Alligator mississippiensis: one gene and its partners. The protein of the gene in region 4 interacts with the protein of the main gene of each other region in a pairwise test. Links are inferred from orthologs where the notes say so. Each region holds a gene or a part of one and is shown on either strand. Other genes may lie near its edges.

The links.
Region 1: the proteins of UBE2K (region 4) and RNF138 interact in binary tests that used the Homo sapiens proteins (3 or more experiments, as listed by UniProt). The link is inferred for Alligator mississippiensis from reciprocal best matches to the Homo sapiens genes UBE2K and RNF138.
Region 2: the proteins of UBE2K (region 4) and RNF167 interact in binary tests that used the Homo sapiens proteins (3 or more experiments, as listed by UniProt). The link is inferred for Alligator mississippiensis from reciprocal best matches to the Homo sapiens genes UBE2K and RNF167.
Region 3: the proteins of UBE2K (region 4) and DTX3 interact in binary tests that used the Homo sapiens proteins (3 or more experiments, as listed by UniProt). The link is inferred for Alligator mississippiensis from reciprocal best matches to the Homo sapiens genes UBE2K and DTX3.

What each region holds. Positions count from the first base shown.
Region 1 is NC_081826.1:81,008,644-81,016,382, forward strand, and holds the start of RNF138 (E3 ubiquitin-protein ligase RNF138), read right to left. Parts: upstream 3,004-7,739; 5' UTR 2,918-3,003; coding exon 2,793-2,917; intron 1,128-2,792; coding exon 962-1,127; intron 1-961. UniProt on the Homo sapiens protein: E3 ubiquitin-protein ligase involved in DNA damage response by promoting DNA resection and homologous recombination.
Region 2 is NC_081838.1:23,790,536-23,798,095, reverse strand, and holds the start of RNF167 (E3 ubiquitin-protein ligase RNF167), read left to right. Parts: upstream 1-4,550; 5' UTR 4,551-4,766; coding exon 4,767-4,774; intron 4,775-5,657; coding exon 5,658-5,739; intron 5,740-6,490; coding exon 6,491-6,571; intron 6,572-6,852; coding exon 6,853-6,972; intron 6,973-7,058; coding exon 7,059-7,146; intron 7,147-7,239; coding exon 7,240-7,330; intron 7,331-7,515; coding exon 7,516-7,560. Other genes in the region: SLC25A11 (mitochondrial 2-oxoglutarate/malate carrier protein), read right to left, coding at 1-107, 462-513, 612-711, 834-924, 998-1,088, 1,575-1,781, 2,240-2,392, 3,006-3,091.
Region 3 is NC_081838.1:7,399,797-7,407,421, forward strand, and holds the start of DTX3 (probable E3 ubiquitin-protein ligase DTX3), read left to right. Parts: upstream 1-4,620; 5' UTR 4,621-4,702; intron 4,703-5,957; 5' UTR 5,958-6,020; coding exon 6,021-6,033; intron 6,034-7,473; coding exon 7,474-7,625. Other genes in the region: PIP4K2C (phosphatidylinositol 5-phosphate 4-kinase type-2 gamma), read left to right, coding at 488-585, 835-931, 1,343-1,489, 1,647-1,793, 1,944-1,982, 2,281-2,394, 2,663-2,897, 2,991-3,094 and 1 more. UniProt on the Homo sapiens protein: Regulator of Notch signaling, a signaling pathway involved in cell-cell communications that regulates a broad spectrum of cell-fate determinations.
Region 4 is NC_081825.1:50,896,081-50,903,484, forward strand, and holds the start of UBE2K (ubiquitin-conjugating enzyme E2 K), read left to right. Parts: upstream 1-4,396; 5' UTR 4,397-4,499; coding exon 4,500-4,562; intron 4,563-7,404. UniProt on the Homo sapiens protein: Accepts ubiquitin from the E1 complex and catalyzes its covalent attachment to other proteins. In vitro, in the presence or in the absence of BRCA1-BARD1 E3 ubiquitin-protein ligase complex, catalyzes the synthesis of 'Lys-48'-linked polyubiquitin chains.

The DNA of each region.
Region 1 (7,739 bases), on a different chromosome or scaffold from region 4:
CTTTTCAGTACTGAGCTTGTACACAAAATGCCTCTATGCTGGTGTAAACAAGGAGGAGGAACATGAGGTACATTAGACTCAGGTGTAGTGTTCCCTGGGTGCAAATTACACTGGTGTAGGTGTCCAAGGAAACCTATTAGGTTATTACTTTGCCCCTAATAGGTGAGAGACAGTGGTGAGAGACAGTGTCATATTGACTACTGTAGCAGCTTCCCTGGGATAACTGGTCATCCAGCCACCCCAGATCCCAGTGCAGTTCTCATTGTAGTATAAGACTGAAGTAAATTACACCAGTGTTAACATGCTGTGTCCAGGCCTGAAGTCATTTTGTGGACCTGGGGCTTTATTCCTTCTAGCCTACCCACTTGTATTGTTTAGTGGATCTTAAATTTTGTTGCTCTCAATTTCATTTTTTCAGACACGATAGCTGCATTCAGACAATTAAGCTCCAATCTGAATGAAGGTAGATGTTACATAAACAAAACTTATTAAGCAATCTTCCAGGTCCACTGAAGATCAACAGCAAGATGCCTTTTGACTTCAGTGGGGCTAGGATTTCATGTACAGTGTTTTGGAAATTAATGCTCTACCAAAAAGAAAGCAAACATTAAATAACATGGCAGAACCATGTTTTAAAACTCTTTTTAGGAATTTGCTAACAATTTAATTTTATGAAGCACTATAATTTTGGCACATCACCAAAAATGAGACAATTACAATTAATCCCTTGAAAAATAACTTGTTTCGCTTTCTACGTTATCCCAATATCAACATTCATATTTTTAATTAAGGACCAAATTCTGCTTATCATAAGCACTTATGCTTCATTTGTGGCTCAACGCTGATGGTGCTCGAGCAAAACAACAGAACACTGATGATGCATAGCAACATGCAAAATGAAACCCCAGGTAAGGAAAATTTTAGTTCCTTACAATAGTTGCTTGTTACAAGTATACTCCACCTGTTTTTCACAGCATTTACAGCTTCCAGAAAACTTCTTCATGTTGTTTTCAACATCTAGGGCCCTTTGGGGATATGATCTTTCTTTCTTAGCCACACTTCCCCGGCAGAGAGGACAATGCGTTCCACTTTCTCTGACAGCTGTCAGGAAACATTTCCTGCAAAACCTAAATCAAAATTAACAGAGACCTAAATTACTAAAATTGAAATAGTGTTAGCCAACTATTTTTCTGCTTTGGTATTGAGGAGGCAAATGACGAACTCCGCAGGAACTCCGCAGGGTTCACGGTAAGCGCTAGAAGTCTGTCCATTAAATATAAGTCTACTTCAGTGATATACTGAAACACGGATTTTAAGTAATAGGATGTTTGGCAATTCATTTGATGCAGAGATTTTACTATCTAATTCTAGCACTGCTGAGCTGTTCACCATGATTGGCCGTTCAGGTGATACCTGGGCTTGTGAGCCAAGAAAAACTGTACCAGGCTGGCTCCTGTTTACTATTCCTATATAGAGACCCAAATGCTGCAAACCGACCCTCCTGTGAATGTTCCCGCAGCTTTCAGTTGGTCACATTTACTTCTCCCCCTCCCTTACTTCCAGTATACAGCTTCATTAAAATTCAAGGCACCATATTTCAAAGAAACATCCACCCACAAGTTTGGGCAATGCTGGAGCCTGCCATTAAGCATCCACCTGAACCAACAGAGGCTTTACGGCCAAGTGGATGGGAACCAGCCAAAAACTGCGGGGCTGGAAGGGAACCTTATCCCTACTACACGACTGGTCCAATAAGACAGACGTCCCCAACCCTTGCGCTACGGCCTGGTACCTGGCTGCAAAGGGTTGGCTGCTGGACTGGAAGTCCAGAACAGATCAGCATACTGCAGACAACCCTTTTTCATACTGAGTATAAAAAAAGGGTTGGCTGCCAGTGTCTGCGGTATGCTGGTCTGCAGTTTGCTGGTCTGTGGTCTAAAAAGGTTGGGAGCCACTGCAATAAGGGACTGCCCCAAGAGATCCTCCCCTCTGGCATCACTTCTGGACCATGGACTGTCATGTCTACAACATCACTCTTAGGCTCCTGTGGCAAGGTTGCAAAGATGCCTCTAGGGAGGATGAGAACAGCCGGGACAAGGGGGAGGGGAGTGAAACAGGGCTGTTAACCCCCCTGTGCTCCTTCCCTAGGAATGAAGCAGAGTGGAGGTGGGCAGTCTTACTGCATCCCACTGCCACAGGGCAATGAAGCTTGGGGGGGTGGGGGGGTGTCCGCTTTGGTGGATCGCACTCCTTCAGACCAGGGCCTGGATCTCAAAGGTGGGGGGTGTCGCAGGCCATGTGCGCGTGTGGGCATGGATTGAGAGAGTGAGATGGTGGCTGGATCTCAGGCTCTGTGGGTTTTTAGGGCAGGGTCTGGATCCCAGACTGGGGGTGGGTTGTGGGGGGGCGCGTGTGTATGTATTAGGGGCTAGATAGGGGGAGAGGGCATAAGTGTGTGAGATCCCAGACTCGGCCTGTGTTTGAGGGGCAGGGCCTGGATCCCAGACTATGGTGTGTGTGTAATGGGGGCTAGATGCACACCCCTGGGCCTAGCATGTGATCCCAGGCTGTGCATGGCTCCCAGGCCATGGTGGGTGTGTATGTAATGGGGGCTGGATGCCCGGCTGGGGGGAAGCACGTGCGGTCCCGGGCTGTGCGCGTCTGCGAGGCAGGGTCCGGCGCTCCGGCCGCGCGTGCGATCGCACGTGTGGGGAGCTACCCGGGGGTGCGGCGGGCCCGGGTCGCAGCCCCGCGTGCCCGGGGGGAGGGGGGGGGAATGGAGGGTTACGCACACATGCCGGCACAGCAGGGTCCTCACGGGCGTCCGCAGCACGTCGCGGCACACAGGGCAGTAGAAATCCTCCTCCTCGCTCCCGCTGCTGCTGGTGCTGCTGCCCGCGCCCGCCTCTTCGGCCATGGCAGCGCCGCGGCCTCCGGCGCGGGGATCCGGCCCGGCGCGGCCGTCTCCGCCTGCCCGGCGCCGCGGCGGTCACAGGGCGGGGCCCGGGTCTGGGTCCCTCCGCCGCCGGCGCCGTGGGCGGGGCGGGTCTCCGTGGTGACGCCCGGGCCCGCGCGGGGGATTGTTGTGGCACAGGCGCAGTGGGCCGCCCCGCGCCGCAAAGGCAGGGCTGGTCTCGTCCAGGCCATGGCTTTCATGTGCCGCCCCCTCCCCCCCCCCCGCGTGTCCAGGTGCTGTCAGGACTCAGCGTGGGCAGTTGCTGGAGCTGGGAGGCCCCTGCTTTGTGAGACCCGCGGCCCCAACTGGGCCTGGTGCAGCCCCGTGGCTCGGAGCCCCATCCTCTCAGTGCTCCCCGCCACAGGGGAGGGGAGAGACCCTGCTGCACATGCAGGTGAAAGCTGGGTAGCAACTAGCTATAAAGTTTGTGCATTTTCATGGTCTACCTTCATAGTTGATGGGAGCTTTTTACGGTGTGATAGCTACCTGGCATGTGTTACTGGTATGCAGATAATTGCACAATTAACCAGGTAATTGTGTGGTACCTGTAATGTGAAGAGGAGGCAAACATTAGTCCCAGGGCACAGCCAGTTTGTGGTCTACCCTCAGGTATTCATTTAAGGAAGAAGAGTGAGGTGGGTGGATAGTGGGGCAGAGGGAGAAGAAGCCCTTGACAGATGAAACAAGCCACGCAAGGGCAGCAGACATACACCTCGTGGTTTGCAGAAGTGCAGGACTAAACTTGGAGGAATTTGCTAGGGATGCACCTAGTTCTGAAATTCTACATCTAACACCTGAGATTGGCAGTTCTCAACCAGGATGTTGCAGCACCCCGGGGTGCCTTGACATTCTTCGGTAGTACAGGTTTCCCTCGCTTCATGCTGTACGTGCATTCCTGGAAAAGGGCGCATTAACTCGAATTCGCATAAAGAACCCACTTTACAATGCAACAAAGATATGTTCCAAGACCTTGACTGTACTGGCCCCCAGACCCATTTTTATCAGGCAATTTTGGTACTTGCTAACAGCAGACAGTGCGCACAAGCACAGGAGGTGGTGAATATTACCATAATGGGGATGGCAACTACACGTGTACACGTGATGTGTCGCGGACAACAAGCGAGGAGCATGGATCCACACAGCAGACTATATTTTGGTGCACATCACTCCCATAATGCACCATACAAAGCAGCTGACTACAGGCCTCTACCACACTGATTGCATAAAAGTGAATTTACCTCACATATAACTCATTTTTGGTATAAAAAGGGTCATCGCATAAGAGAAAATTTGCACATACAAAACCTGCATAAAGTGAGGGAAACCTGTATTGGAATTATGTTGTTGCCATGATGGTCCAGGAATTAAGTGAGAGGCCAGGATTTCTTAAGGTGATGTCTTTCATTGGACCAACTGCATAGTTGGGGTAGAGTTAGACAAGCTTTCAAATGCAGGACATCCTTTATCAGGTCTGAGTAGTAAAAGCCAGCATGGCAGTCCTTGAAACCCTTTCCATGAGATGCCATTCAATGTTAGCATTGTTAGGTGTTCAAACACAATTCAGAACATAAAACCAGTTGTTTAAAATAGGAATCTATAGTGTTAAAAACAATCTAACCAAAGCAGATAAAGGAGGGTGCAGGGCTGAGGAACAGTTTATCAGAGTTAATGGGGCAATTTACATTGACCAAGCATGGGATTAACAGCCATTCTGCAGCCTTAAGTGCCCATTGTGGTTCCATTTTGCCTGACCTAGCAATTAACAGGTGTTTATCATTAAGGGTGCACCCACCTACCCCACCAGGTGGGGTGAACTGAAATTAATTAGGTGGTTTTCTAGCAAAAATCTTAAAGCTGCAGCCTGAGGCAGAGACCTCAGGCAGTCCCCAGAACATCAAGCCCCCTGGAATACAGAAGTAGGGATCTAGGAAGCCCCTTCTGCTGCCTCCCCCCGCCTTGCCCTGAGAGCTGCACTGTGTCCCCTACCTGCCCAGCATGTGTCAGGGTGCATACTGGTGTTGCATAGCTCCTGGGAAAAAGCAGCAGAACACAGTGATCCCCAGCCCTCAGTGGGCAGACTGCCTCTGCCCCACACACAAACCCAGAGGCCACATGCCCTCCCCTGGGAGTGTGTGCAGTGGCAAGAAGCTGCACCTTCCCCATGCCTCTTGGGTCAGAAGCATGGAGCATAGGCAGTGCCAGGAGGCTGCTGGTCGGGAGTGAGGGGCATCAGCATGGCCTAGGAGGCGGGGTACTGTGGATTGGGAGTGAGGGGCAGCAGCAGGGCTGGCGGGGTGGGGGAGTGCTGTCCCTTAGGAGTGAGTGGCAGGGCCAGGGCAAGGGCATATTATTGCTCCCCCCACAGTCATATTCCTTTTCCCCTCCTCCCCACCCAAATACGTATGTGTCCTCTTTTTTGAAACTGGAAATATGGTAACCCTAGTCTAGATCCATCCTCTTTGGAACTACCCTTCAGGTAGTTGAAAGCTGCCATTAAATCCCCTCAGGGTCTTCATGCCCGGTAAGGAAATCCTAGGGTAACATGGGGCTCTTGCCCCTAAGGCTGCTGGGCAAGGTACTTATTCCCATTCTGTGATGGCAGTGCCACAGCACTCCAATACCTAAAAGGTGGCTGTTCTTAGAACTGTTTTGGAAGTGGACACCTCTGCACTGCAACAGTTGTGAACTGGTTCCTAATCAATGACATTCTCAGAACAGTTCAGCCCTCGTGTGTCTGCACCCAGGTTTCATCAACCTCTACTGCTAACCTCTACTGAGGATTGAACAAGAGGAGAATCTAAACCGTCTGGATGCAAGAGGATCTGGTGTCTGTCTCACTGCTCCCATATAACTGTACCAGACACCATAGTGAAGTCCACAGTTTCAGATTTATTACGTTTTAAATTTTGGAGCCCCTGGGCATTAGCCCAATACAAACACTAGCAGTCCGTAGTTAAATAATTGCTCTTCTTTTGATTGCTTCCTACTGCTGCTATAAAACAGTCATATTGACAACTTTCTCCACATTTAAGGTTTTCGTACTTCTGAATCCCACCAACTTGTTGATATCCTCCTTGTGTGGAGATAATTCAGGATCTCAGAGCACCATTTCAGAAATCATGTAAAAATGGACCGTCTCATGTTCTATTAGATATTAGGAAAATTTTTCTCACTTGGAAAGTAGTAAAGTACTGGAGCAGGTTACCCAAGGAGATTGTGGAATCTCCATCCTTGGAGGTTTTAAGACCTGTCTAAACAAAGCCTTGGGTGAGATGATCTAGTTGGGGATGGTCCTGCTTTGTTGGACTGGATGACCTCTTGAGCTCCCTTCCAACCCTAATTTTCTATGTTTCTATGATACATATTGAAACTGCTGGATATTCAGCCCTAATTTTCATTGGCTGTATGTACATACATGTGTTTCTGTTGCAATTAATTGTAAGCTCATAATAAATTTGCCATTTACTTATCACCTAAAATTATCTCTCAGCCTATTTTCTAATTTTCTTCCTTATGCCTCTGGGCTCAGGGAGACTCATCTGCCACTGCTGCTGTCCTGGATGTTCCAGCTTTGCTCCAGCTGGGGCTGCAGGGAGCAGCTGCATGGGGAGACAAACCCAGTCAGGGACAGTGGTGCCAGTAGGTGGATTCTCTGTCCCTGAGCCTGCTCTCAGACTGGTGAAGAACACCTGGCAGGAAGGAAGAATCCAGTGTCCTTGTCCCCAGGGGTAGCTAAAGGCAGGAGTACGGGCAGTGGCAGGTGGGGAATCAGAGGGGAGTTGGGGGGAGGTCCCACTGAGCATGGAGGGGAAGTAATGGGGTACCAAAAGAGGTGGATACATACCTGCTTAAAAGTAGCAAAAGAGGTAGATACAAACCTGCTTCAAAGTCCCTACCTGCTGCTTCTGTGGCTTGGTCTGAAAGCCACCACACCCCCTCTGGATCTGCCCCTATAGTGTTTGGAACCGTAGTGTTGTGTCATGTGTCAGAAATATTTTTACTTTAGGTGCTTCCATCCAGTTACCCCTTTATTTGTCCTTGTAACTTCATAACTGTAATTTATGACTGTGAGGCTGGTCATTGCATTTCAGTTTAAGCAAAAGGGCTGATTCTAAAGCAGGGGCGGGCAATTATTTCGGGCGGAGGGCTGCTTACTGAGTTTTGGCAAGCCATCAAGGGCCGCATGACAGGCACCCGGGGCAGACAAATATTAATTTTCTAAATTTTTTAGGGGCTCCATGGGCTAGATAGAATGGCCTGGTGGGCTGCATCCGCCCATGGACCGCATTTTGCCCACCCCTGTTCTAAAGTATACTGGGGGAGAAATGGTGACTGTCTCCCTCCTTTCCAGCTTGTAATTCCCCACACACTCGTTGATGCCTTGTGTAGTGAAGCTAGTCCAAAATTGGAAGGACTTTCATAGGTCATGTTTGCTCCCAGGTTGAATCTGTGTGTTCGCATTACTACCTACTCTGCAGCATTTGCAATAGCTCCTAGTGTGGAGGTTGGGGATTTATCTTAAATAAACCCTCTGTCTTTACTGTCTTTAGGCCCTGGCTATATACAAAACACCTGACCTGAGCTGCATCCTGTTTGATATCCAGGCCCCATCCTGTGGTCACTGAATAACATGTGCCCCAGTGCTCCAATTCATGGGTAGGTTTAGAAGATGGAGTTTTTAGCAGCTTTCTCTGTATTTGTTCAAATCTTTTCTATGAGGAGTCTGTAAAGTGGGAATTATTTGGATATGACCCCCTATTCCTAAAGAGATTTTTTAGCTAAA
Region 2 (7,560 bases), on a different chromosome or scaffold from region 4:
AAGATGAAGGTGAGCACGGTGTGGGGGCCCAGGCGGGCATAGTATGGTGTGAAGCCCTTCCATAGGCTGAAGAAGCCCTCATAGCGCACCACCTTGGCCAGCACATCCTGCAGTGGGGACAGGAGGTGGGGGAAGGTCAGGGGGGACCCAGATACCCACCCCTCCCTCACCAGCAACCGGGGTCACCTCCAGATGGCTTGGGTTCCCTACTGGCCCAGGCTATTCCAGCCAGAAGCAGACCACCCTGCAGCTACCTATAGCAGCCCCCCTTTCTCTCTGGCTACCTATATACTCCACCCCTTCCCTCTGGCTATCAACAGAGCACCCCCTTGGCTACCTATATATCTTTCCTCCAGCTACCTGTAGTCCCTCTTCCCCCTGGCTAAATCTAAAACCCCTCCCTGGGTAGCTGCCCAAGGATCCTGCTGGGGGGCAAGGGCTCCTCCCCACCAGCCACTCACCAGTCCATTGCGATACTCAGGTTTGCCGTCAATCATCCTCATGTTCTGGATCCTGGTAGGAGACCGGGGGGTGGAAGGCAAGGGTCATGAGGGGCATAATCAGGCTAGGCTGGGGCCCCCCACCCCAACATCCCCTCCTCAAGGACTCACCGGGTCTTGGCAATGTCAACGGGCATAGATGCAGCCGTGGTGACCAGCCCACTGATCATGCTGGCGCAGAAGTGGCAAAGGATGTCGTCCCGGAAGTAACCTGGCAGGGAGGGGGTGGGTGAGACCCCCCTGCACACAAAGGAAGGGAGTTGGGGGAGGGGGGCGCTGCTAACAACTCCTGGCTTTGTTAAGGGGGGGGCCAGGAGGGGAGGGGGAACTTACCGGAGTCCAGCAGGAACTGCTTGGACTGGGAGTAGGAGGCCAGCTGTGCCGCGTTCACCACCACTGCCCGGGCCATGGTAGGGACACAACCCTGTAGGGGAAGTGGGGAATGAGGAAGGGGTTGGGGGGGTCCCTGTGACCCCTGACCCCTGACCTGGCCATACCCTCCAGAGTGTGAAGACGCCTTCCTCCCGGGTGATCCGCACCAGGGCATTGAAGACATTGGTGTAGCCTCTCCTCTGGTCAGGGGGCAGCCTGGGAGGCAGAGGGCAGGGGTCAGGGGGCATTGGGGACCAGAGACAGGGGGCAGGGCAGCTTCAGGACACAGGGCAATGGGAGAGGGAGTCCTGGGGGTCAAGTGTCACAAAGAGAGGTCAGGGGTCATGGGGGTGGAGAGAAGGCAGAAATAAGAGGTCAGGGGACACTGAGAGTTGGCAGGAGTCAGGGGTCACCAGGGCAGGTCCAGGGAGTAGAGAGGCAGGGTCAGGGGGCACTGGGGTGAAGACTGAGCAGATAGAAGGCAGGGACCTAGGGCAAGAGTCACCAAGGTACAGAGAGGGGTCAGGGGCAGGTGCCATGACAAGGGTCAGGGGGCACTGGAGTGGAAACCAAGCAAAGATGAGGGCGGGGTCAGGGGTCACAGAGAGGGGTGAGCGGCAGAAGTCAGGGGCTGTCAGGGCACAGAGAGGGCTCAGAGCCAGAAGCCAGGGGGTGCCAGGTCAGAGGTTGGAAGGCACTCACCGCCCGTCTGCTGTCATGCGGATAAGTGCCACCTCAGCAGGGGTGCCCACGAAAGCGCCGGCAGCACCAGCCACCATCCCCAGTGCAGCCTTGAGCAGGAAGGGGGGCGGTGTACCATCGTCCCGCGTCAGCCGCTCCAGCAGCACGGTGTAGATGCCCAACCGTGTCGTCGTGTAGGTGGCCTGGCGCAGCAGCCCCGCTGACAGCCTGCCATTTGGAGGGGGGTCAGACCTGGCCCGGATGCCTGGGTCCCCTCCCTAGTGCCCCATGTCCATGCCCTGGGTGTCTGGGTCCTTCTCCAGCACCCCATGGAGAGGCCTTGGATGCCTGGGTCCCTGCCCTGTGTCAGGTGGAGATAACCCAGGCCCCTGGGTCCTGGCTGTACCTGGGGTAGGTACCCCAGATGTCTGGGTTCCCCGCATGGCTGCCTGTACCCACTCTAGGTGCTGGATAGCTGGGTTCCCTGGCTGTACTTAGCATTAGATGCCCCAGACACGTGGGTTCCTCCCCACATGCCTGGGTCCCCTGGACACCTGCCCATACCCAGCCTAGGTGCCCTGGACACCTGGGTCCTAGCTGTAGCCAGTGTAGGTGCTCCAGACATCTGGGTCCTGGCCATACCCAAGGCAGGGTCCCCAGGCACATAGGTTCCCCTGTGCCCATACCCGGTGTAGATGCCGCGAATGCCCTCGTGGCGCAGGATGCTGCCCACGGCGTGGAAGCTGGTGCGGTACTCGCGGGTCTTGGCGCCCTCCCCGCTCAGCTGCATGCGGTTCTTCACCAGGTCCAGTGGCTGCACAAACACTGTAGCGCCCATCCTGGTGGGGGAGAGGGTGGAGGGTGGTCAGACCCAGATGCCTGGATTCCCTGTCCCACCCCCATGCCCTGGAGGCCTGGGCGGGACCCTCTATCTCCTTCCAACCCCAACCCTGAAATCTCCTCCCCCTGTCCGGAGGCCTGGGTCCCTGTCACGCTTGGCAGGCACTACTGGGGACCCTCCCTCACCAGCCTGTAACCATTAACGAGGGGGACATCAACCCCTGGGGTCAAGGTCCAGCTGAGGCAGGTGCTTGTGACCCTGGAGGAAGCTGGGTTCCCCTGTCCCCCCCCCCCACAGCTCCCCCCCCCCTCAGCAGGGGTTTGTGGGAGGTTATTCTGGGGCAGGGCAGATTTCTGCCCTGGGTGGAGGTTGTATTGTGAGGGGGGACACCCATTTCTTGCCTTGGGGGTGTCTGGGGTTTATTGGTGGGAATGGGGGTGCAGGTGTCTTTGGAGGGGGGCTGGGGGGGGACCATGGAAGGGGGTGCATCAGCTAGCCTCAGAGATCCCTGTGGGGGTTGGGGGGGGTCAGGAAGGTAGAAGGAGGTTTGTGGGGTCTCCTAGGGGGGCCAATTCAGTTTTGGGGGCTCCATGGGGCGGGGCGGCTCTCACCCGGCCAGGCCGCCGAACAGGAACTTGACGGCCTGGGGCGAGGTCCGCGCCCGCTCGGGCCCCCCCGTCCCCGCCGCCACCGCCATCGCCGGCCCCGCGCTGCGGCCCGGGCCAAGGTCACGCCGGGGGGGGGAGGGGGGGGGCTGCGCGCGCAGTCCGGAAGTGCGGCCGGTAATCCCGGGAAAGGCGGTGCTCACGGCCCGGAAGTGGGGCAGAAGGACTTCCGGAGGTAGGGTGGCTGCGCGCGCAGCTAAGAATCCAGGAGGGCGGGGGACTAAAGAATTCAGGGAAGGTGGAGGAGAGAGTTGCGCGCGCAGATCCCCGCCCTCGACCCCCGTTTTGGCGGGAAGAGGTTGGCGGGGCCACTGGGTCTGGGGGGAGGGAGGGCTAATGGTTAGGGCTCCAATACTCCCCATTACCGTACTCTCTCGAGTATCACAGGAGGTTTATTCCCCACCTCCATTCAAGAGGAGGGAAGCCCCCTCATCTTGGAGAACTGGGGGGGTGCATCTCTATTCATAGATTGTAGTCAGAAGGTACCACAATACATCGTGTCCGACCCCCTGCCTCCTCTTGAAGACCTCCAAGCTAGGTGACAGCACCACCTCTCTTGGAAGCCCATTCCAGAGTGGGGAGTAACCAGGAGCATAAAGATAATACCCTCCAGGGGGAGACATAAATAGGACCGGCATCTGGTAGCAATGATACTCCATAATACCCCAGGGATACAGAATAAAGGTGCTGGTGGGGGGGTTGAATGCTACACTCCCCCAACAGAAATAATGCTCCAGGGGTTGATACTCCATAATACTCCCCATGGATTGATACGTCAGACCACAGCCCCCCAACACTCACACTTCAGCCCCTGCTGGGTCTGTTTGCTACAGGGCTCCAGAAATACTATTACGGGTCAAGGACCAATACTCCATAATACTCCAGGGCATGGATACTCCGCAATCCCTCTGGCGAGCCATGCTCCATGTTATGCCAGCAGATCAATACTCCATGGTGCTCCTGGGGGGGGTCAATGCTCTGTAACCCTCCTGGCAATCAATAGTCCATAATATTCCAGGGGTTTGATGCTCCATACTACTCCAAGCGATTGATTTCAGGAACTAATACCCCACAGTGCCCCAGGAGATCAATACTCCAAGGGATCAATACTTCATAACGCCCCAGGGGGTTGATACTCCATAATACTCCTAGGGGTCAATGCTCCATATGGCTCTAGGAATCAAAGGCCAGACCACTAGCCACGCGCTCCCGCTAATACTCGTTTGGGATCAAGTTTTAGGCCTCGTCTGGACCTAATCCCCGGGGATTAATGCTGTCCACGCAGGGTCCCGCATCACCCTGGGGAGAGGTCCTGCCCCACTCTTCCCTCCAGCAATAATCCCCGGGAGTACCGGCTGGGGCAGGGATCCCCCCCCGGCTCTCCCGCCCCACTGAACCCCGGAGGAGGAATCCGGACGTCCGCTCACCCCGCCCGCATTCCTGGGGGCGGGGCACATTCCAGGAGGGGGCGTGGCTCCCACCTGCTCTCGCGAGATCCGCGCGCCGGCCTGGTAAACACAGGCAGGGAGCCGAACCCCCTCCCCCTACCCAGAGGGCGCCCCCTGCTGCGGCCGGGGAAGCCCCCTGCTGCTGCGCCCAGGGAACCCCGCTGACGTCACTGACGGAGGGAGCCCTCTGCTGCCTGCTGGGGGGGGGACTCCCGTGAGCCAGGCCTGAGTGAGGGGACCCCCCCCCCCCGGCCCCATCATGAGCAGGTGAGGGGTAGGGCAGGTAGTTGGGGGGAGAGGGGGGCATCTGGGGACTGCTGGGGGGTCAGGGAATAGCTGGGGGGGGCAACTGGGGGGTGGTAATGGGGGCATCCAGGGGCTCAGTTTGAGCCTGGGGGGCTGCTGGACTGCGGGCATAGGCCTCGGGGTGGTCCTGGAAGGGCCTGGATGCCTGGGGCCCCATCCTGGCTCTGCGTGGGGGGTTGGATGTGGGGTGCCGCCTGCCTCACCCCTGCCATTCCCATGACACCCACGAGGTACTGCTTGGGCTTGTTACTGCACCGGCTGGGCCTCATCCCCCACGCCCTCAGCCTGCCCCGGCTTGCCAGGACCTCGCCCCCTCCCAGCCCCTGGGGCAGGATTGGGCCCCTCGAGCTGTGATTGGGACCTCCCAGGGGCTTTTTGGGGCCACCAGGCACTGCCTAGCCCCTCTGGTCAGGATTGGGCCCCCTAGGTTGGGATCAGGGTCCTCTGGGTGTAGCTGGCTCCTTCCAAGCCAGGATCGGGCCCCTCCCAGGCACTGCCCAGCCCCCACTCCCTCTGGCCACGCTTGAGGCCCCTGCTCTGTGTGTGTAATGGTTGGAAGTGGGGGTGGGGCCCCGGACCCCGGGCTCTTTCCTGGGCTCTCAGTGGTTCTAGGGGATTAGAGCCTGGACGCCTGGGGTCTTTGCCAGACTTGTGGGGGGCAGGGGGCTGGAAGGGGCAGGGTGTTGCCCCCACCACCACCACCTGGAGAGAACCCAGGTGTCTGGGCTCCCAGCCCAGGGCATGCGACTGCCCCGGCTACGTGCAGGGCGTGGGGCTGGGAGCACGGGACCCAGGTGTCCAGGATTGGCCCTGCCCCCTGACTCTGGTATGCTCCTGCCCTCAGGTCATCGTGGCCCCTGGTCATCGCTGCCCTGCTGGTGCCCCTCGTCCTGCTGCTGCCTCCTGCCACTGCCTACATCCATGCCGTGAGTGGGATGGGGGTGGGGGGACCCCCAGTATCCCACAGGCCTTTGCAGCCATGCCCTGGCCTCCTGCTGGCCCATGATGCTTTGCAGCTGTGCCCCAATCTCCCAATGTCCCGCAGTCCTTTGGAGCTGCACGTTGTTCCCCTGACACCCCAGTGTCCTTTGCAGCTGTGTCCTGGCCCTGCCGATGTCCCAGCATCCTTTGCAGCTGCTGCATCTTGGCCTCCTGATGTCCCACAATGCTTTGCAGCTGGGCCCCCGATCTCCTGATATCTCACAGTCCTTTGGAACTGGGCCCCAGTCTCCTGACTTTCCATGATGCTTTCCAGCTGCTCCGTGGCCTCCCTGCATCCCACAGTACTTTGCAGCTGTGCAGTAGCCTCTCAGTATCCCATAATGCTTTGCAGCTTCACGCTGGCCTCTCAGTATCCCATGATCCTTTACAATATCCCACAGTCCATTGCAGCTGCACCCCAGTCCCCCCATGCTTCTTTGCAGCTGTATAGTAGTATCCTACTGCCCCATGATACTTTGCAACTGTATAGCAACCTCCCAGTGTCCCACCCTGCTTTGCAGCTGCACCCCCCCAGTATCCCACAATTCCTTGCAGCTGCCCCACACCTTCCCAATATCCCAGGCTCCTTTGCAGCCTGATTATGCCCCCCCTCTGTCCCCAAACTACCCACAGTCCTTTGTAGCTTCACCCCAGGACCCTTTGCAGTGCCCCCCACCATCACACAACCCTTTGCAGGTGTCAGAGCACAACTCCAGCATGGACTTCTCGGACCTGCCCGCAATCTTTGGGGCGCCACTGCCCCGCCTTGGCCTCCTGGTGCGTGCCCAGATGCCTGGGTTTCCTCCTGGGGGTGGGGGTAGGGGGCTGGGCCTGGGTTCTCGGGCGGGGGGCTGGAAGCCTGGGTTCTGCCTGTGCTGGCGGGGCAGAGGGGTCCTGGATGCCTAGTGGGGATAATGGGAGTCGGGGACCTGGATGCCTGGGTCCTGTCTGGGCTGGGGAGGGGCAGTGGGGGTCAGGGGCCCAGATGCCTGGGTACTCTCTGGTTTTGGGTTGCGGGGCCTGGATGCCTGGGTCCCAGTGTGGCCCTCCCCAACCAGGGCTTCCTGGTGGAGGCGCGGCCCAGCAATGCGTGCCAAACCCTGGAGCCGCCACCGGGCCCCAATGCCAGCGTCTTTGTGGCCCTTGTGCGCCGCTACGACTGCGACTTCGACCTCAAGGTGCGCCCGGAAGCTTGGGTCCTCCAGGGGTGGGGGGCTGGGCACCTGGACCGTTGGGTCCCTCATGACCCTCCTGTGCCCCCCAGGTGCTGCACGCACAGCAGGCTGGCTTTGGCGCAGCTGTGGTGCACAACGTCGGCTCCGACAACCTGCTCAACATGGTCTGGAACGACGGTGAGTGGGGGTCGGGGCCGCCCCGGACACCTGGGTTCAATCCCTGGGGGGGAGTGGAGACCATGCCCCCCCCTGATCCCCTGCTGTCCCCAGAGCGCGTGAGGGAGCAGGTCTCAATCCCGGCTGTGTTTGTGGGCGAGACAACGGCTGAGTACCTGCGCGCCGCCTTCACCTATGACAAGGGGTGAGTGCCTGGATGCCTGGGTCCTGTCTGCGTTGGGGGTTGAGAGCGGGGGGCTGGGGGCCCAGATGCCTGGGTTCTCTCTGTATCTGGGGGGTGAGAGTGGGGGGCTGGGGGCCTGGACACCTGGGTTCTCTGTGGAGGGGGGGCTGCAAGACCCAGCCTGATCCTGTGCCCCCTGCTCCCAGTGCTCATGTGGTCCTGATTCCCGAGTCCATCTTCCCGCTGGGCTA
Region 3 (7,625 bases), on a different chromosome or scaffold from region 4:
GCTGTGGGTCCCTGAGTGGGCATGAGGCCCCCTCACCGTGGCTAGCTGGGACTGTGGTCTCTCCCCATAGGCACCCTCCCACAGGACCACCCCAGAGCAGCTCCCTGTGTGGCACTGTGGGCTCGGCCAAGTGCCTGCTGGTGCCATGTGACCCATGTATCAACACGTGTGAAGTGCCCGGCTGAGGGGCAGCAGGGCCTGCTCAGATCTGGGGCCAACCCAGCTCCTGCCCCTGGCATCTGGCTGGGCTCACTTAGGCACAGACCCATCTCCTCTGTCTCCAGGAGCCTTCTGAACAGCTCGTGGGGTCTCCAGGGTGGGGAGGGGAAAGCCATTTGCCTCTGCTCTGGGGCGCTAACTGCATGCTGGCACCAAGGCCTGGTCTCCCCACGGCCAAGGGCAGTGTGGTATGAGCTGGGCAGGGCAGGGGATCTGTTCTCTGGGGCTCAAGCCTGGGAGTCAGCAGGTGGTACCTCCTTCCTGGCAGATCAATGAGCTGAGCCAGGTGCCGCTGCCCATCATGCTGCTGCCCGATGACTTCAAGGCAAACTCTAAGATCAAGGTGAACAACCACCTCTTCAACCGGTGAGTCCCACCCTCCTCTGCCACCCCTGGGCAGGGTTGAGCTCTGAGTGCCCCCAAGGCCAGAATCCGTGGGTTGTCCATTCATCTGCCCCCCCACTCCCAGTGATCCAGGCTGGGGGTGCGTGGGATGGATAGGGGCAACCGCAGGCCATGTCGGAGCCAGCCCAACCCTGCTTCCCCTGGCATTGGTCCCACAAGCCGTGGCATCCAGGCCTATAGCTGAATGCTGACCCTACCCCCCCACCCCAGGGAGAACCTGCCCAGCCACTTCAAGTTCAAGGAGTACTGCCCCCAAGTCTTCCGCAACCTGCGCGAGCGCTTTGGCATCGATGACCAGGACTTCCAGGTGGGGGCGTCATGCTGGGGCTGTGTGTGCGCTTGCATGCACATATGCCCCCTCCTGCATAACCACATGTGTGTGTGCTCACATGCATACATGGACCCCCCCAGTGAGTATCCCCTAGGAACCACCCAGCCTCTCCCTCTGCACACAAATGCGCACACACATGCACCCCCCTGCACATGTGTGTGCACACATGCACCACCCCACCATGCTTGGGCATGGCGTGTGGTGTGATGGTGAGGGAGGGGTTAGGGGTTCCCTGGGTTTCACTGCAGCCTCCCAACCAGGTAGCAGCAGTGTCCCCTCTCCGGGCTCATTGGTGCCATGCCAATGTCTGTGCCTACTCGAGGGGCAGGCTGGGCTTTTTCCAGGCAGAGTTGACTTTAGCAGGGCTCATGTGCTCCCCGCCCCCAGGTGTCACTGACCCGCAGCCCCCCCCAGTACGAAGGTGAGGGCAGCGACCGGCGCTTCCTGCTCTCCTGGGACCGGACGCTGGTGGTTAAAGAGATCTCGAGTGAGGATGTGGCTGATGTGCACAGCCTGCTCTCGCACTACCACCAGGTACAGCCAGGGTGGGGCTTGGGAACCAGGAGTGGGGCAGGTCAGGGAGATGGGCCAGCTGGATGTGGCCAGGCCAGGGGTCCAGAGGTATGTGGTTGGGGCCTGGAGCAGGGCGGCGAGGTGCCTGGCTCTGACGTGCTCCCCCCTCCCCCTGCAGTACGTGGTGCAGTGCCACGGGAACACGCTGCTGCCACAGTTCCTGGGCATGTTCCGCACAGGCGTGGACAGCGAGGAGCGCTACGTGCTGGCCATGCGCAACATGTTCAGCCACCGCCTGCCCGTGCATCGGAAGTATGACCTCAAGGTAACACCCGGGGTGGACGGGCTGGCTCTGGGAACAGTCCCCACCATGACCCCCTTCCCTGCAGCTGCCAGCCGCAGCCCTTATTGCACTCCCCCCTAGTACCTTGCCTTGGAGCTAACACTGTGTCTGTTTCCCCCCTCACCTTTGCAGGGCTCCCTAGTGTCCCGAGAAGCCAGTGACAAAGAGAAGGTAATGGTGGGGGGGGATCCTTTTTCTCTCCCTCCACACTGCAGACTAAGCTGAGTGCTTCTGGGCTCTTAGCCCTGCTGCCCCCTGCCCACCTGGCCCCACCACCCCACAACGAGGTTGCTGCCTTCCTAGGCTGTGGCCTGACCCATTCCCAGGTCTCCTGGCAGAGAGGGTGCAGCTTGCGGTGCCTGGCTCTGATGCAGGGGCAGTGATGTGCCCCTCCACCCCCATTGCACAGCTCTGTGTGAGGCTGTGGGCTCCTCCTGTGCTCTCACGTGTAGCCTCCCTCCCAATCCAGGGAAAGGACCTGCCCACGCTGAAGGACATGGACTTCCTGAACAAAAATGAGAGGGTCTACGTGGGCGAGGAGGCCAAGCGGGAGTTCCTGGAGAAGCTCAAGAGGGATGTGGAGGTTGGTGGCATTGAGGGCAAGGGCCCTTGGGCTTGTCCCAGCCTGAGATGAGGGGTTTGTGCAGACATGGGCAGGGGCTGTGGGGCTGGGGGCTCCTGGCAAATGGCCACATGGGCAAAAACCTCCCATGGGGTTTGCAGAGGCCTGTGGTGGGGGCAGACAGGAAGAAAGACCTTTGGCATCTGCCACTGGGCCTCATGAAAGTGAAGCAGTGCTGGCTCATGGTCTGGCCCCCTTCCCCCTGTTCATCATCCCCACCCCCCCGCAGTTCTTGGTGCAGCTGAAGATCATGGACTACAGCCTGCTGCTGGGCATCCACGAGGTGCCGCGGGCCGAGGAGGAGGATGAGCCTGAGGATGAGGACGGGGGAGACAATGGCACTGCTGGCCTTTACGGCGCCTCCCCCGAGGGCCTCGGCATTGCCGGCGACTTTGGCGCCCACCGCGCCCTGGGCCCCGGCGACTTCGACTCGCGTGTGGATGTGTATGCTGTCCGCAGCCAGGGTGAGCAGGCACCGGGGTGCTAGGTGGGTGGGGGGCTCAGGTGGCACGGGGGAAGAGGGGTCTGTACCTGTCTCACACCCCCGTCTCACTCAGGCGGGCCCTGCTGTGAGGTGTACTTCATGGGCCTCATCGACATCCTCACCCAGTACGATGCCAAGAAGAAAGCGGCACACGCAGCCAAGACTGTCAAGCATGGGGTGAGCTGCGGGGGGGAGGTTTGGATCCCCCTGCAGGGGCTGTGGCTTCCCAGGCATCCCTGGTTTGCCAGAAGCTGCCCAGGATTGAGGCCAGGGCAGGCAGTGCGTGGGCCTGGGGGTTTGCAGGTAGCTGCTAGCATTTGGCCTTGGAGTGAGGGGCGGAGGGGCTGGGGCACGAGTGCAGACTGTGGCTGGGGGAGTGGGGTAAGAGCTGGCTGGGGTGGGGGCTGGGCCTGTCTTGGGGTGCTGACGCTGCCCCCTGCACAGGCCGGCGCTGAGATCTCGACGGTGCACCCGGAGCAGTACGCCAAGCGCTTCCTGGACTTCATCACCAACATCTTTGCTTAGCCCCATGGCCACTGGGTCACTCCCCTGCTCCTCTAGACCCCCCCCTCCCCCACACTCCCTGGTGTTTGCTGGGCAGACGCGGGGAGCCGGCCCCCCCTGCCCTGGCTGCAGCGGATCCCAGTGTCCTGGTGTGGATCAAGTGCCTTATCTTTATAACCCCTGGTTGGGGGGGGAGGGGGGGCGAGGGCTGCCCCCTACTCAGAGCTGCTGCTGCTGCTGTTGGTGGTGGAGGAGGAGGAGGTTGTGCTGCTAGTGAGAGGTGGGGAATCCTGCCCCCCACCCCCCCATTGACTCACTGACCCGCTGCTCCCTGGATCTGGGGTCACAGCCTAGGCAAAGGCCCCCACCTGCCCACTTCAATGGGCTGTGGGGCTGCTGGTAGAGGGGGTTCCCCCAGCACCTGTGGGCAGTGGGTCCTAAGGCCCTGCCACCCTGCAGTGGGGAGGGTCTGACAAACACTAATACCTCCCCCCAGCCCCTGGGGCTGCCCCCAAGTCCTCACCTCCACGAAGCTGTCCCAGTGCCCCCCCAGGCTGTGTTGGGAGCAGGGGCTATGCCCTGGGGGGGGCATGCTCAGGGGAGGGGGGCTGTTGGGGGGGGGGGGCAGGGGGGCCACATTCCTGTTCACTCTATTGATAGAAATAAATTATTGACTATGAGGCTGTGTGTGCTGTTGTGGGGGAGGGGGGGCAGTGCCGGGGGGGGGGGGGGGGGCAGTAGCTGTGGGGGTAATAGCTGCTATTGGGTGGTAGGTAACTGCCCCTAGGTTTTTTGGGGGGAACGTGGGGGGGGCAGTAATGGTAGGGGGGGCAGTTGGGTGCCTCCCAGCTGGGGGTGGCAATAGCTGTAGTGGGGGGGGAGCTGGGGGCTAATAGCAATGGGGGGCAATAGTTGCAGCTGGGGGTATTGCAGGGTGGGGGGAGCTGGGTCCCCCTTGGTTTGGGGGGGCAGCAGCTGGCGGGGTGTTAGCAATGGGGGGTACCGCAGGGTTGTGGGGGGGCAGGGCTCAGAGGCCTGGGGCCCCCGCCGCCGGGCTGCCCCACTTCGGGGGGGTCCACGCTGCCCTGACCCCTCCCCTTCCCCCCGCGGGGGTTTCCATAGCAACACCCCCCCCCCGCTGCTGCTGCTGCTGCGCGCGTGCCCCGTCGCCCACCTGATCCGGGCCCGGCCCCCCCCCCCCGCCCCCCCGTTGCCATGGCCGGGCCCGTCCCCCGGCAACGCGGCGCCACGTGACCCCCGCCATGGCCGCGCCGAGGGCAGGTCGGTGATGCTGGGGGGCCCGGGCGGGGCCGTGCGGGGCGGGCGGCGGGGGGGCTCGGCCCGGGCTCCATTGTGTGTGGGGGGGCGATGAATGATTGACAGCCCCCCTGGAGTGGGGGGGGCGCTCCCAGCCGGGGGGGGCGCTGGGCCCGGGCCTTTGTTCCTGCTCGGAGCCCCCACGTTTGCAGGCCTGGAGGCCGGGGGGAGGGGCCCGAGCCGGGGAGGGGGGCATTTGCACCCGGGGGGGTGTAGTTGTATGGGGGGGGCCTCCCCAGCCCCCTCCCCGCGATGCAGCCGGCTCTGGGCCGCGGCCTGCACTCCCCCCCCCCCCCGTTTTTGTATGGGCTTTGCCTGCCCCCTTTGCATGGGCTGGGGGCACTGGGGGGGTCATAGTCACTGCCTTGTTATGATAGGGATTGTGGGGGGGGCACAGGCTGGCCGGGGGTGTTTTGGGGTTTCCTGGGTCCCTTTCACAAGGGGGGGTGGTCTCTGTGCCGGGGGGTTTGGGGGTCACAGCCCCCCCCCTCCTTCCTACAATGAGGCTGCCGGGGGTGGGGGGGAGCTGCCTCCAGCCCAGGTGGTGCGGGCGGGATGTGCCCCCCGTGGCTCCCTGGGGCTGTGGTACGGGCCAAGGGTGCTGGCGGGTGCGTTGCTGGGGTCCGGGGGGGCGGCAGTGGTCCCCCAGTGCCCCCCCGACCGCGCTGAAATGCAGCCAGCTCTGGGGTGGTGCCAGGCCTGGTCCCAGGGTCCTCGCGCAAGCATTTGGGAGGGGAAGTGGAGACCCCCACATGTGCCCCCGTCTCACCTGGGGGGTCCAGGCTTGCCTGTGTCTCCGGGGTGGGTTGGGGGGTCTAGGGCAGACCCTCCCCTGGGGCTCAGTCTGTGCTGTATGGACTGGGAGGGTGACCCCTGCCTCAGGGGCGGAGCCTATGAGATAGTCCCGCCCCCAGGGCATGTGGCTGCTGACCCAGATTGGCTAGAGCTGTCAGGCTTGTGGGGCGGGTGCAGGGTAGGGCCCCGTCCCAGGCCCCTCCCCGTGGTCCATATAGCACCGACTCAGCCCGGGCCAGGGGCCAGTTTCCAGGGAGCAGGTTGTGCCCAGGGGAGAGCCTGGGGGACCCTTGTGTGCCAGGCTTGGGGGGCATGGGTAGTTCATTGCTGGGGGGCTCTGCCCACAGGCCTGGGGGGGCCTGCACAGGACAGGGGTCTGGGGTGGGGGAAGGGTGCATCTCCTTACCCCCTTTTGTCCCCCCAGGGGTTCCCGGCGCCCGGCTGTGCTGAGCTCTGCTCCCCAGCGCCTCTGGCTGCAGCTTCTTCCATGGGCTCCCCAGGTGGGTACCGTGCCCCCCGCAAGTGTGATGCCATTGGGCCCTATTGGGGGGGGGCGGGGGGGGTCTAGGCCAGGCTGGTGGGCTGCCAGGGGCGGGGCAAGGCTCTGTACTGGGCCTTGGTAGATTCTGCCCCGCGCCCCCTCCTATCAAGTCCCTTTCTGCACCCCTTGGCAGCCCCCCTTATGAATGGCAGCAGCTGGGGAGGGGGTCATTGCCCTCTCTGCATGGCGGGGGAGGGGCAGGGAGGCCAAGGGGGCTAGAAGGGCCCTTCTTGGGGGTCCCGACCAGCTGTGTGCCCATCGCAGTCCTGTCCCCCCTGCACCTGCCTAGACAGGATGGTGATGGGCATGGGGTTGATGTCTGTGTATGCCCATATCCCTGTGTGTGTCTGGGCCTGTGTTCATGTGGGCACATGTCTGCCTCTGTGTGTGAACGGCCATGTGCAAGTCCGTGCCGTGTCCCCGTCCATGCATGTGGCTATGTACATGTCCCTCCATGCACGTGCTCACATGCCTGTACATGTGTGAACCCATGTGAGTGCATGTTCCTGTGTGTGCGTCCACATGTGTGCCCATGTGCAAGTCCATGCGTGAGTTGGTGTGTTTGCCTGTATGCCCACCCATATTTGTGCTCATCCATGCCTGTGCCCATGTCCATGTGTGTGCCCATGGCCATGTATCTCTCCACACACGTGCCCATGTGCATGTCCATGCATGAGGCTATGTGTGTCCCCATGTGCATATCCATGTGTCCTTGTCCGTATGCATGCCCATGTGTGTCCCTGTGCATATGTCCCTGCATGTGCTTGTACATGTGTGTGCCTACATGTATGTATGTATGTATGTGAGTCCATAGAAATGTGTCCACATGTGTGTTCATGTGCCTATCCCTACATGTGTCCATGTGTGTGCCCATCCATGTATGTGGCTATGTAAAGTTGAGGCCTTGCATATGCCCACGTGCATGTCCATGCATGAATCCATGCATGTGCCCACATGTGCCCTCGTCTATGTGCATGTCCATGCGTATGCCTGTGCATGCCAATGCCCGCATGTGCCCATGTACATGTGAGTCCATGCGGGTGCATATATGTGCTCATGCCCACAGGTGTGTCCACATGCGTGCCTGTGGCCATGCACGTCTCCAAGCATGTGCGTCCATGTGCATATCATCCACGTGTATGTGTCCACATGTGTGCCCTTGTCCACATGTATGTGCTTGTGTGCGTGTCTGTGTGTGTGCCCATTTATGTGTCCTTGCGTGTCCATTCACGCATGTGCCCATGTGAGTCCTTGCGGGCACTTGTGCCCATGGCCATGGACATCTCCATGCCTGTGCCACATGCACGTCCATGTGGGTGCCTATATACAGGTGCGTCCATAGCCACGTGTGTCTCCACGCGTGTGCCCACGCCCCACACTGATCCCTTTCCCCCCACAGTGTCCTTTGTGCTGTCCCGCATGGCGGCCTGTGGGGGTGCAGGGGCCAAGAGCCGCCTGACAGTGCCGAAGCCGGTGTGGGACTTCCTGACGCAGCAGAGCCCGGGCAAGCTGGCGCGGCTGCGCGAGGCTACGCCCGTCAGCATCCTCATT
Region 4 (7,404 bases):
GTTGGACTTTTTGAAGGGTTTTTGGCTGGAGTCTTCTCAGGAGTCTAGGCTGCAGGTTTTTCTAGAGTCTTGTCTGATTTCTTAAAGGAAGTGTCCAAGGAAGTTTGGACAGATGTTCTCCAGGGAGATGGGCGACACAGCGACTTGTTCGCTGCCATGGTGTCACATCAGATCAAGCGTTGTAAAGTCGAAACTGATGTCAGAAAGTTGAAACAGGGTGTCAATTTATAAATGTTGTAAGTGCGAAACGTTGTAACTCAAAACGTTGTAAGTCAAGGACTGTCTGTACCTCAGCACCTTACAAACTTTATCTTTACAAAACTTCTATCTGGTGGAAAACCATTATCTTCCCCATTATACCCCTGTGGAACTGACGTACAGAGATGCTAGGGCCCAGAGACCTGTAGTTGTTTAAGCATGTAACTTCCAGTTAAGTCAACAGGATAGTGGTTTTCAACATTTTTAGACTCAAGGCACTGCTTTGAACATTCAATCCTTTTTGACTATGAAAAAATAATGGAATAATTCTTTTGCTGAAAAAAACTCAGAAAGAACACAACAGTTCTGAATGTTTTTGACACTATGGAGTCCTATTTGAAATCTCTCAGTTTATTTTGTGCATTGTGTAGGTGTTTGTACACCTTACAGTACTAATACCAGTATTGTGCAGCACCTCATCCTTAAAAAGATCTTACAACACTCTGCTTGATAATTACAGCAATAGTAGCTGGATGCTGGAATATCTCTGAAGATGTAGGCCTCATTTTTTTGCCCAAGATCACACAAAGCCTGAGAAAAAGGAAGCAAATCTAGATCTTGTGACTGATAGGGTCTTTTAACCACAAGATTAGGCCTCCCTTTGTAAGTGTTATATATTGTGTCAAAAGCAAATTTGATACTAAAAAATTAATTGTACAAATGGATACAGCTAAGAACATGCATGGGACAATGTTATCCCAGGGAAAGAGACCACACATTAGTTATGTTGTGGAGGAAGAGTGCTCACCAAAATAAAAAGTACAGCTTTATTTTGTTGTCAGCAGTTTTGTTAACAGAGCCTGTATCATTGTTGTTTTGTGCAGCACTAAGCACATTGTATGAAGGGCTGGAAACAAACAAACAACAGTATGCATACATTGCAGCCATGCTACAGCTGAGTTCAACTACAAGCCACTGGAATCAGTTCTAAAGAATCCATTCCCTATAGCATTTATTGAGACTACACGGATGGCTTCCCAAACTGGCCAGATACAACATTCACAGCATTACATAAGAATTACCTTTTACTGGATCAGACCATAGGTCAAAGGAGAGAAATTATTTGGGTTGGAGGGCCACTTAGGGAGTTTTGGTGAGCTGTTGTGGACCCATTCAGCAACCCCCACTGCTGTGCCAGGTTGGCACCCTCACTCCCCCAACCTGCAACAGCTCACCAGAACTCCCTAAGTGGTAGGTTACTAGACTGGCCTGGGACCCCTGTGGGCAGGGTGCACTCACCCGGGTGGATGAGATGGGACTGTGGGCAGGCAGGGAGCGGCATCCAGAGTGGGATGGGTGGATAGGGATGGGGCCAGGATGGAAAATTGGTGACAGTGCAGGGCTAGGGCCGGGCACAGGGCCAAGCCATGATCCACTCCCCACACAATGGATCATGATTGGCCCTGCCCAGGAGGGGGACAGAGCACACACCCATGACCCAGCCCCGACCCCAGCACAGTTGTGCATGGCTAGCCCCAGTACAGTGTGGCTGTGGAGCGGCACAGCCCAGCAATGTGGGGTAGCCTGATTTGGTCATGATTTATCAGGGCTGCTTTACAGCCACATTATACTTTGGCTGTCTGCATGTGCTGTGATGGGGCAGGGGCAGCAGGGGCCAGGTCACGGGTATGCACTCCACCCCACTCTTGGGCTGGGCTGGTCATGATCCATTGTGCGGAGAGTATATCTTTGCTCAGGCCCTGGCTCCGTGCTGTCACCATCCTGCAATTTTGGTCCCGGCCCTGCCTACCCATCCTGCCCGATTGCTGTTTCCTGCCAGTGGCCCCATCCCATTCCATCCTATCCCATCCCATCCACCTGACCGAGCGCACCCTGCCCATGGGGGTGTATAGAGCTGCCGCTGCCAAAGTTACAGGAAAGCAGAGTCTGGCTGCTGCGCTACCCCAGCCCTGCTGTGTGCCTAGGGGCAGCAGGACCAGGTGTATATGCCACGGCCTGGGCTGCACCCCCCTACCCTGTGTCTGGGCCGGACAGGGCCAAGGGACCTGCTTCAGGCCAGATAAAATCCCTTGGCAGGCTGGATCCAGTCCATAGGCCATATTTTGCCCACCCCTGCCAGAGGTCCATCTTGCCCAGTATCCTATGTCACACAGCTAGCGATCTACCTGACCAGGAAAGGGGCTCTGGCTGGGAGGATCCCTGGGGACTTTGTGGCCATTTTCCTATCCATGAGCTGTTCACAAATCTGGGCAGGGTTTCACTGGGCAGTGTCTACTGGCTCCTTGGACTCATTCAGAGGCCAGTGGGCAGTATCCAGTATGCTCTGCTTTGTGTCCTCCCTTGGTGCACTCTTTTTAAACCTTTGACTTTCATTCCCATTCCTGTTTTCTTCTTTATTTGTCCTCTGTAATCACTTGGTGTGTACTTAATGGCCCCCCATACTAAGTGGGGCTTTTAGTTTTACTTGGTGGGCACTGGCTCACATTCCCAATGCACATAAAATCATAGAAAATTGGTGTTGGAAGGGACCTCAGAAGGTCACATCTAGTCCAACCCCCTGCTCGAAGCAGGACCACCCCCCAACTATATCATCCTAGCTGAGGCTTTATCTACTCAGGACTTAAAAACCTTTAAGGATGGAGATTCCACAACCTCTCTGGCTAACCTGTTCCAGTGCTTTACCACACACCTAGTGAGAAATTTTTTCCTAATATCTAACCTGAACTTCCCTTGCTGCAACTTGAGACCATTGCTCCTTGTCCTGTCATCTGCCACCACTGAGAGCAGTCTAGCTCCATCCTCTTTGGAACAACCCCCCTTTAAGTAATTGAAGGCCATTATGAAATCCCCTGTCTTTTTTTCTAGACTATATAAAACCCAGTTTTCTCAGCCTCTCCTCAGAAACCATGTACCCCAGCCCGGCAAGTATTTCTGTTGCATTCTGCTGGACTCTGCAATTTGTCCACATCCTTTTTGTAGCAGGGGGCCCAAAACTGAACACAGTACTCCAGGTGGTACACCTCAGTGGTGCCAAATAGAGGGGAATAATCACTGCCCTTGATCTGCTGGCAATGCTGCTACTAATACAGCCCAGTTTGCTGTTAGCCTTCCTGGCAACAAGGGCACACTGCTCGCTCATATTCAGTTTAATGTCCACTGTAACCCTGAGGTCCTGTTCACATCAAAGAGGCCTATATCACACAGTAGCAGAGATCAGATGCTGAAAGGGCGAGCAAACCGGGTATGACCAGGGTTTTTCTTCACACCATTTCTGTCCCACTTGCAGTCTCTAGCACTTAAGGTCAAGGAAGTGCAGATTCAAGGTCTGTCACTACTGCCCAGGGCAATCCCTGACTGTGGTTTCCTATACAACCAGCTCTCACCGCTCTTCTGTGAAACTGCTTTGAGTTGCTTTGCTTTTCAGCAACCAGGCAGAACCCACTTCTGAAGGTGTCCTTCCATGTTACTCGTGCTCCTGAACCGTAGCGGCCTGCCTTTCTGTCACCACTGCTGCCTCATGCTCCTTGACCAGCGTATTCATGGGGCCCTCTGACTTAAGAGTCCCTCATCCCTCTCTCCTGGTGCAGTGGCTCTGTAGTACTGTACAAGAGAACAGGAGCCGGGCCAGCATGCGCAGTCCTCCCTGGGGTGCAAGGCAGCAGAAGGGACAGTTGCTGCCACAGCCTCCCCACAGCTGCCAGCCCCCAAGTCCCCCCGCGCCCTCAGGCTGGGGGGCACGAGAGAGCCGGGCTCTTCTGCAAAGGGTCCTCAAGGGAAGGCCCTTCATAATCACCCCCGCCCAGGGGCTCTGGGGAGACCGCTCCGGCCCCGGGGCTTCACCCCGCGCCTCATCACCCGCCGCAGCCGCCTCTTCCTTCCCGCCGCCGCAGCCGCCCGGGGCGCGGAGGGGAGGCCGGGCCGGGGGCGCTAGCTGGACGCAACAGCGCGGCCGGGGGCGATATCACACCGGTGCCATCACAACCTGGCCCCAGCCCCGGCGGTGCGGTCCTCGCGGACAGACGGCAGAAGCTCGGTGGCCTCGCACAGGGCTCGGGGAGTGGGAGCAGGAGCCGGAGCTGGAGCCGGAGCTGGAGCGGGCCGGGCCCGCACCCACGGCCCCTCCTGAGTGGCGGGCGCTACAGCGCGCATGCTCGGCGCCGCCGCCATTTTGGTGGGGCCGGGACTTATCCGGCGGCGGCGGCGGCGGCGGAGCTCGCGGGGCCCGACTCGGCTCGGCTTGGCTCGGCGGCAGCGGGTGCGGGGCGGTGTCCGCTGCGGACATGGCCAACATCGCGGTGCAGAGGATCAAGCGGGAGTTCAAGGAGGTGCTGAAGAGCGAGGAGGTCAGAGCACCCCCCCCCCGGCTCCTTGCGTGCGCCTGCGCGGGGGGCGGCTGCCACTGCCCCCGGGTCGGCCCGGCCCGGCCCCCTGTCTCTGGGGCCCTCGGGGCTGGGCCGCGCTGGCCCCACCGCTCTCAGCCTGGCCAGGCCCCGGGTTGCCTTGCCCCCCGGGCCTCAGCCCCTGAGGGCCCCGCTCGGCCCTTCCCGGGGTGACAGTGTCCTGCGTTGCCCGGCTGGGGACGCGTTAGGAAACTTTGGGGACCTGGGTAGGAGCCTCCCTGGTGTCCCCACGGGCGGGCGGACCCGGCCCAGGGAGCGCGGAGGAACCCAACCCTGGTCCTGGACGCCGTCCGTCCCCCGCCTGGGAGGCGCCGGGGTTGACCTGCCTTTGAATTGAGCCTGCTAAGGCTGTGCAGCTCCCAGCAGCCTTTTGAAGGCATCCGAAGGCCCAGTTGTACAGCCTCCCTGCAGCCCGCCCTTTGATTTCCCTGGGGGAGCTGGCTTGGGGCTACCTAGGAAGCATGTCTGGGTGGGTGGCTACCTGCCACATACTGAAAGGAGAGTCCCTTCAAGGTTTTGCTTTCTTTGGACCAGCCCTGATGGTGTTAATGAGAAAACACTGTTGAAAAGTTTTAAATACTTTCTCCCTTGCATTAGAGAAAGGGAAACTGTAGTGTAGGCCACAACGTGTTCAGGTATGAGAGGCACATTCAGGTCTGTGTAGTTTTTCTTATAAAGAGGCTTGGGTCTAGTGAGCAAGTTTTTCTTCATTCTTGTTAGCATATGCACTGGGCACTCTAGTGCACTGAAAATACGCAAGTCTTCAAGACGCTCATCTCATGTGACCGAATCCTGTGTATTGGCGTGGCTGTGAGTCTTGCGGAATTTCTGCCTCTGAATTAAGCATGGAAGATGCACGACACATGTCGGTACTGAGCCAAATATGAGTCGTTGTCTACCAATCTATACATAATCGCTGCTTACAGGTTACGCATTAGGCTGGCATTTTGAATAAGCGAGTTGTGTAGGTTGTTATGGATGTTTAGAATAGTGACATTGCATTCTGATTACTGAGGGATATCTTGGTGTGACTTCTTTTTTGTGTTTTTTTTTTTGGTAAACAGTTCGTGTTCTAGAACATGAAAATGTGAATTGGTGAATGGTGGGATGACTTCTGACCAGTCAAAGGAGGCTGGAAAACTTTCTTTTAAACAGCTTTAGGGATTGACAGCCTAAATTTCAGACTAGGTTACCTATCAAGAAAGAGTAGTTGGGGAAAAAAAATCATGTGAAGAAATATTAATTGTTAAAAACTATAGTCTTTCTTTAAAAAATTCTGATATTTATTTACACTTACTAGATTTTATGCTCCGAGTAGCGTGTTAACCTGAAAACTGGCCACCTTAGTCTGTTTTTCCAGAGATACCACAACGTTGGCTTGGCATCCCATTGTGATGTGGAAATAAACACTGTACATGCAAAATTTGCCAGTCTGGTCTCGGAACATAGGTATATCCTTCAGTTTCTTCTTCAACTGAAGAATTTACAATACGTTGTTGGCCCAGTTTTCACTTTTAAGTTTAGCAAAAGGAAGATTTGTAAATTACAAAAGCATAACTAGGAAACGCACACAATCCTAAATACCTTCTGTTTCTTTGTCTAGAAATGTCCTTTGAGTCTGTCTTTAAAATAACCTAATTTGTGTGAAAAGACCTTAAATAATTTTCCCAAACCATGATTTTTGTGCTGCTTGCCTTATTTAAAGTGTAAGAGCTCACAGCTAACTGAAGGAGTAGGATGTTGAATTTTGAACAAAGACATTCTTTTAATCTAGTTTCCCTTAAGTATTGGAACTAAATAGATGTGCCCAAAATGTTTTTTAAACAGTAGGAATAAATGTACTTTCTCTTCTAGCCCTTCCTATACAAGTAACTAAAATGTAGATTGTTAACAAAGCGACCAAGTTTTAAGATGTTAGTGTAGGCAAGGCATATGTTGCCTTTAACATGCAATATGATGTTAAATAAAGTCTTTGACCCCCCCCCCGCTTGATGTGTGTTAAAAGTAATGCACTTTGTCTACTCTTTAAAATGCACAAGCATGCTAACTCATATAATACTCTAAATCCTAGTCTAGACAAGGCATCAGTTGCTCAGATTTCAGCCTATTCTCTTGTGGTGTCATTTCACTAGTTTTTCATCATGTTGGTCTTCAAGGGTAGACTAATTAAGCTTCTAATCTGGAGAGAATATATACATTTTTTGGATTAAAGCATTTTAAATTGTCTTTAAACACAGGGAAGTAGGGGAACAAAGAGTACAGGCCCTGTTCTCATCTCCTAAATGGGCCTGAGGGGCAACACAGGTAGAAGAGCACTTAACACTTTATTTTGCTGTAGGCTGTGGGACCACTGCCACAGGTAACTGAACAGAAGGTAGGGATTCATCTATACAATGATAGCTTATTGGACGGAGAAATCATGGTGGTTGCTTGATATAGTGGTCCTTGAGAACTGGATTTAGTTCAGCAGGTGTTGAGCATCGTACAATTTTAAAAAAACATTTTCAGTGTTATATATGGTATTGTAAAGTTACAAGATATTACCAGAACCAAATTAAATAAAGGCAGCAAAATGAAAACAGATTAAAGTGGGGCTGGAGATTAAAAGACTAGTCTTCTGGAGGAGTGGAACTTCCTTACTCAGTGCAAGGGATAGTTACAGGAGCTGGCTTATTGCATTCATGACAGAATTTACTTTCCTTATTGGTTTCATAGATTTCTAGGGTTGGAGGGACCTGGCAGATCATCGGGTCTGACCCCCTGCTCCAGGCAGGAAAGAGCGCTG